2 linked regions of the Nothobranchius furzeri genome follow. Each later gene encodes a partner of the first gene's protein in a complex. Links are inferred from orthologs where the notes say so. Each region holds a gene or a part of one and is shown on either strand. Other genes may lie near its edges.

The links.
Region 2: pigq (region 1) and phosphatidylinositol N-acetylglucosaminyltransferase subunit Y share a complex: the UniProt entries of both Homo sapiens proteins name them as parts of the glycosylphosphatidylinositol-N-acetylglucosaminyltransferase (GPI-GnT) complex. The link is inferred for Nothobranchius furzeri from reciprocal best matches to the Homo sapiens genes PIGQ and PIGY.

What each region holds. Positions count from the first base shown.
Region 1 is NC_091745.1:17,743,454-17,747,279, reverse strand, and holds part of pigq (phosphatidylinositol N-acetylglucosaminyltransferase subunit Q), read right to left. Parts: coding exon 3,744-3,826; intron 2,845-3,743; coding exon 2,648-2,844; intron 2,527-2,647; coding exon 2,330-2,526; intron 2,128-2,329; coding exon 1,996-2,127; intron 1,505-1,995; coding exon 1,384-1,504; intron 1-1,383. UniProt on the Homo sapiens protein: Part of the glycosylphosphatidylinositol-N-acetylglucosaminyltransferase (GPI-GnT) complex that catalyzes the transfer of N-acetylglucosamine from UDP-N-acetylglucosamine to phosphatidylinositol and participates in the first step of GPI biosynthesis.
Region 2 is NC_091744.1:85,184,144-85,186,922, forward strand, and holds phosphatidylinositol N-acetylglucosaminyltransferase subunit Y, read right to left. Parts: upstream 1,275-2,779; coding exon 1,062-1,274; 3' UTR 766-1,061; downstream 1-765. Other genes in the region: triadin, read left to right, coding at 392-526; pyurf (protein preY, mitochondrial), read right to left, coding at 1,367-1,508, 2,716-2,779. UniProt on the Homo sapiens protein: Part of the glycosylphosphatidylinositol-N-acetylglucosaminyltransferase (GPI-GnT) complex that catalyzes the transfer of N-acetylglucosamine from UDP-N-acetylglucosamine to phosphatidylinositol and participates in the first step of GPI biosynthesis.

The sequences.
Region 1 (3,826 bases):
CTTTTGTTGAATTAAAACAACGAAAAACCTCCGTGTAGCGTCTTTCTGTCTAATTATCTCATGTTATGGCCGTACATGCGCTGTGCGCTGGAGACCTGCGGCTGCTGCGCCGTAGCTTGTGTTTGAGTGCAGCGTGTGTGTGTAGAAAACCGTTTTTATTGTTGGTGCGGCTTATATTGAGGTGCGCTCTATAGTCCGGAAATTACAGTAATCTGGTCTGCTGCAAATGATTCATCACTGGGTTTATTCCTGATGAGGCAGAAGAAGAGCCACCTGGAGTATTTATGTGTTTACACCCACTACCAAAATGAGGAAGGGTGTGTGTGTGTACATGCAGTATTTTGATTTAACTCTGGCCCAAATTTACCAAAGGGATGTGAATAAATGACAATTAGGCTTCAGCCCTCAAGAACAGACTTCTGCACCATTTATAGATGATTAACATCCATCTAATCTAATCCATCGTCTCTTAAAGTGATGAGTTTTACAAACACATTGTCAGATGCTTTAGAATCCTGCTGCAGATACATTCAGATTAAAAACTCTCAATCAAAATCCTCTTAAACGGTGCACCGCTTCCTTGAGGAATGCCCATCGCATCAGACAGTGAGGAGAAAGTGGAGTCCATCGATCAGGACCGAAATCAGAAACTTGTTTATTTATTTCTTTTCTTTTCAATTATCATTATTTCCCATTAGTAAAAAAAGTAAAAGTAAGAGGGTGCAGACTGGGAATACGAAAATGTTTATTGTTTTAGAAATCCTGAACATGTTTCCTCTGGAGTGACTTTGTTCCATTTTAGTGAATCAGCAACTCACTAAAAGGACAAAAAGAAAAAACAGGTTTTACTTTGCTCTGTCACTTCTGTCCTCGCTGTGTCCATCCTTCGTTTGTGCAGCACGATCAGATTTCAATAAGTGCTGCTTGGTCTCACCTGCTTACTTCACGGGTGTTTCTGTCAACATTTAATGAGTGGTTTGCTTGAGTAGGAGAAATAAAGCAGCACCTAAAACATGTGCTGCTCCTCCTAGAAATGATGCATTAGGTGGTCATCTGCAATGGATTCGCTTTTGTAGTCGGCCTAATTAAAAACGGACGTCACAGCCAATCAATAAGATCTAACTCATAAATAACTAGAACTGCAGCTTTTACACATAATGAGCTAATCTTATGCGTTAGTAGCTGAGAGTTATTTTCCACTCGTGTTCCAAAAGTTCACACGATCTTGTGATTTGATAGGCCTTTAATTCTCTATTACTCTTCCTGCACATCACTGGTCATCAGCTAGTACTAATTACTAATGCAATTAATGAACAAACCTGATGTGTGAAAATCATGCAGATAAAAAGAACAAAACACTGTTGGTTCAGATTTCGGACGTACGTCAGCAGCAGGAACCAGGGCGTCGGCCAGCATGGAGATGTGATCGTCTCTGTAGAGCCACGACATGAGAAACACGCCAAGGGCCACGTCCACCAGAACCGACACTAGGATGTTAGCCTTCCTTCAGACAGAAATGCACAGATGTGAGAGCACGTCTGGGCAAACAGGAAGTCCAAAAACATCAACTGTGTGTGATGACTTGACCAAATGTTACGTTGTCCCATAACAGCTGTTCTGCTTCATTCTAAGACAGATGATAAATGATAAATGGCCCGCACTTGTATAGCGCCTCTCAGAGTAAGGACTCCAAAGCGCTTTACACTACAGTGTATCATTCATCCATTCACACACACATTCACACACTGGTGGTGATGAGCTACGATGTAGCCACAGCTGCCCTGGGGCGCACTGACAGAGGCGAGGCTGTCGAGCACAGGCGCCACATGTCCCTCCGACCACCACCAGCAGGCAAGGTGGGTTAAGTGTCTTGCCCAAGGACACAACAGCAGAATTCTCTGTCCGGAGCCGGGATCGAACCTGCAACCTTCCGATTACTGGACAACCCGCTCAACCTGTTGAGCTACTGCTGAGCAGTTTGACTCTGAGGTTTACCTCATGAACTGGGTGTGACCTTCAGCTGATTTAGGCGAACTGAGCGTCCTCATGTGCTCTGTCCTGTAGCTGAGCTGGATAAAAGTGGACAGTATAGAGGACAGGAAGCAAAGCGGGAAAACACTGAAGATCCTGGACAGAAACAGAATAAAGATGCAGACTAAACAACAATGAATGTTAGTTTCTGAGATGATCTGATGATATTTGCGTATTTTGCATTTCTGCTCAGATAAAATCTAAAGATGTCAGAAAGGACTTTCTGTTGCTTTTGGACAAACTCTAGAGAAGAATAAATAAAACAACCGTTGAGGGACCCGCCACCACTTCTTCTCACCAGATGTTGCAGGTCCACGTCCACACAGAGAGCAGCCAGCTGATGAAAATGCAGAGAGGCACTGAGGCCTGTTTCATCAGCTCCACGATGATGCTGGCCTCTCTGCCTTCAGACTGCCAGTGAGTCGACTTCAGCAGCCCGTCGTCGTATTTGTCGAGGAAGAAGAGCGGCTGACTGTGCGCCACCGTCTGAAACATCTACAAAGGAGGAGAAAGAAAGGAAAAATGCAGATTTAGCATTTTTTATTTAACAGATAATCATTCTGTAGTTCTAAACAATGAAGGTAGTTCTGAGCGGTGAGGAAACGTTGTCTCGTACCTCCCTCAGCTCAGTCGAGGGTTCACTTTTGTTCTCTGGGTTTTCATTCGCTATGGGATGAAGCTGCGACAGCATCACCTTCCTCTGCTCATAGTGAACAAAGATCACCTTCTCTTCAGCTTCCTCCTCCCCATCACCTCCATCCTTGCTCTCTTTCTTTGCTTCTGCTTCGTTGCTTCGCCGAGCTGACCCTCCGGCTGGTAACAAAATAAAAGAAGCTTTTTAAATCAAACCGAAGCAGAAAAAAATAATAATTCACCCAGCTGACACAGACAAACACAATGTCTAAATGACAGACTTGATTATTTTGCCATTTAAATTTTAAACACATTTCAAAAACAGAAAAAATAAGATCGACAGGTGGAGTGGTTCGGCGTCTGCAGTGATGCGGACGCTGAGCCGATCTGTCGTGGTGAAGAGGGAGCTGAGCCAGAAAGCCAGGCTCTCGATTTACCGGTCGATCTACGTCCCAATCCTCACCTATGGTCATGAGCTTTGGGTAATGACCGAAAGAACGAGATCGCGAATACAAGCGGCCGAAATGAGTTTCCTCCGTAGGGTGGCCGGGCTCAGTCTTAGAGATAGGGTGAGGAGCTCGGATTTTCGGGAGGGGCTCGAAAGGAGCCGGTTGAGATGGTTTGGGCATCTGGTCAGGATGCCTCCTGGACGCCTCCCTGGGGAGGTGTTTCGGGCATGTCCTGCCGGCAGGAGGCCCCCGGGTCGACCCAGGACACATTGGAGAGGTTACATCTCCAATCTGGTCCGGGAACACCTTGGGGTCCTGCCGGAGGAGCTGGTGGAGAAGGCCGGGGAGAGGACGGTCTGGAGCTCCCTAGTTGGGATGCTGCCCCCGCGACCCGGACCCGGATAAGCGGAGGAAGATGACAACGACGACGAGAAAAAATAAACTGTCAACTAAATAGTAGTAGAAGTAAAAGAGGTTTTATCTGGTAAGAATAATTTAAATTATTTCAATTAAAATATTCAGATTCACATTTTGTTGTCTCAGATTCTCAAATGAGAAGTCAAAGTAAATCCAGAACGTTTGAAACATTTTTATTTCTTTCGATTTTTAACTGAAGAGAAGAAAACTAACATAAAAAAATGAAGGTGAGTAGGTTGAGTTTCTCACTCTGATCGCGGCTGAGCACCTCACAGGTGAAGCCTGTCTTTCCCATC
Region 2 (2,779 bases), on another chromosome or scaffold:
TGTTGATTCCACACATCCTTGTCTTAAGCCCATGTGGGCTGATTCTACCCACCAATCAGAGGCTTGCTCTAATGGAAGGTGTGAATTTGCTGTCAGCAGTGGGTGTGTTGGCCCTGGTCGGCCTGAAGCAGACCCCCTCGAGAAGAGGGCTGAGAATGAGCCTTGGTTGGCCCGGAAAAATACCAGGCCACCCAGATATGTAAACAACCTATGCTACCCGGCCCGGGCCGACCCGGTACAGATGGGAATGGCCCAATAGGTAGATCTAAAGGGTCCGAGTTGGACAGCCCTGAATCATATGCTACGTATCACAAACCTCTCATGCTTTTATCAGACTGTGGTTCTTTTTACAAGTGTCACTGTTTAACAGAGAGCCTCCCCCCCCCCCCAGGTCGGAGCGGTCCAGCTGAGACTAAACAAACCCTTCTTCTTCAAGACAAAAGGAGAATGGCAGTCGCCTCGGCCGGAGTCTCCGCTGACCAAATTTTCTCAGGGCAGAAACCCTAAAAGCAAAAAGTGTCACTAAGGAAGGACGTGAACGTACGATGAAAGCTGTTCTTGTTTGTTTCGGAGCATTTTGGGTCAAAGGCTTAAAAGTTCGAGCTTTTTTAAAACTTGTTTTGTTTTGCATGAAAAGATGATAGTTTGTGTTTGAAGTACAGGCATGTTTGCTGGATTGTTCCTCCCTGAAGTACGTTCACATTTCATAAAACAGACATTAAATAGCTGTTCTGTGTGAAAATGTTTTTATCAAATAAAAGTAACTTATTCCAATAAAGTTGTTTATTCTTTTCTGCAAGAACTGGAAAAATCCAAGAAGTTCAGTTGTTAAATCGGTTACATTTATCCATTTTATAACAGGAGTTTGTTCAGTAGCAGTTAGCGTTTACACGGACTCGGTTACTATGAGTCCTACCTGCAAGCCTAAACTTCCAGACAAGTAAAACCCAAGTCTAGCAGACTTTAACAGACATGAAATAAAGAAAATAATGTTACTGAAGTTGGTAAAGGAGGTAAAAGTGCATCAGAAAACATGCCGTGGGTTGTTTTCAGAGAGCATCCTAGTTGTGTCTGAAGAGCTTGATCCCCATCCAGCTCCAGAGATGGAAGAAGACGTAGACGGGGATGGTGACCGGCAGCAGCAGGCTGTAGAAGCACAGACTGTTGCCGCTGGTGCAGCCTTGAGGGAAGTTCTCATCCACGGCTGCAGAGTAGAACAAGCCAATGAGTGACACGATGGGGACCAGTCCCACCATCACGGACAAGGAGAGCATTCTAGCAGATTAGCTTTACAGTTTTTTTCTTTAAAAAAATAGCAGTGCTCAATCGGTTTTCTGGCAAATGAAGGTCTTTGATAGACTTTCTGTTACTGTGCAGGTGGATTAGAAGCGTCTGTGTCCTTCTGAAGGAGTCTGGCCTCCTGGGGGATCATGTTGGGGATGCCGTCGATGATGGGATAGGCGATGCCAAGCTCCTCATTGATCAGCTCGTTGGTATTGGCATCATACCTAGAGGAAAGAAAAAGAACATCAGTTATCTGGAAAACAGATTAGACTGTTTTATGCGTTGGTTCAGTCATTTCTAATAATGAATGCCTAGGTCGCAGGTCGATGATAGACTTTGAAGTCGTATCATCCGACCTGCGGCCGTGTGTTTTGGACACCAGAGTGAAGAGAGGAGCGGAGCTGTCAACTGATCACCACCTGGTGGGGAGTTAGATCAGATGGCAGGGGAAGATGTCGCGTAGACCTGGCAGACCCAAACGCATAGTGAGGGTCTGCTGGGAACGCCTGGCAGAAGAACCTGTCAAGACGGTCTTCAACTCCCACCTCCGGCAGAGCTTTGACCGCGTCCCGAGACCAGTGGGGGACATTGACTCCGAGTGGGCCTTGTTCCACTCTGCGATTGTTAAGGCGGCTGTTGCTAGCTGTGGTCGCAAGGTGGCCGGAGCCAGTCGTGGTGTGGAGTGTGTCGAGTTTGGAGGCAGGAGAATCTCGTCTCTGCTTTTTGCGGATGATGTGGTCCTCCTAGCTTCATCCAGCTCTGACCTTCAGCTCTCGCTGGGTAGGTTCTTGCTGCCCCCGCGACCCGGATAAGCGGAGGAAGACAACGACGGTGTGTGTGTGTGTGTGTGTGTGTGTGTGTGTGTGGGGGGGGGGGGGGGGTAGATTTCACCTTTACACTGCCTCTAATGCAGCTTTGACTAATTCTTAAGTAGGATGTATTCAAACATAGTACATCCTTGTTTAATTGATGTAAACGCCCAAAACAATTTCCCAATGATGTTACTAAGCCAGTGAAAGAAATCCCTTAATTTTTGATAAAAATCCTAATAAAAAAGATCAGTTAGTATGAAAGGTGTTAAAAACTGCTGTGTCTCAATGGTCTGGCTTAGTTAGCAACACCATTTAGGAATGGTTTTGGGTATTAAAATCAATTAACCTGGCAGCTTTTGAAAGAAATCACTTCATTTTTTATTTAAATCCTAAAAATAATGATCAGATCTTGCGAAATGTGCTAAAAGCTGCAGTGTCGCTGACCGGGCGAACCAACGTCTGTCGAAGATCCAACGTCCAACTACAAGCTAACTTCACCGCGGTACAGGACAAGCGCGTGCCTACGTCTTAATGCTTTTATATGAAGTTAGAAAGGACGCCGCTAGTTAAAAAACTAAAATCAAAACAGATGAACTCTGAAACACTTTGTTGCCGTTACCGGAGTGGCTTCTTGGACAGCGGACACACCAGGAAGTCCAGCAGGGAGGAATCGAAAGGCGGCT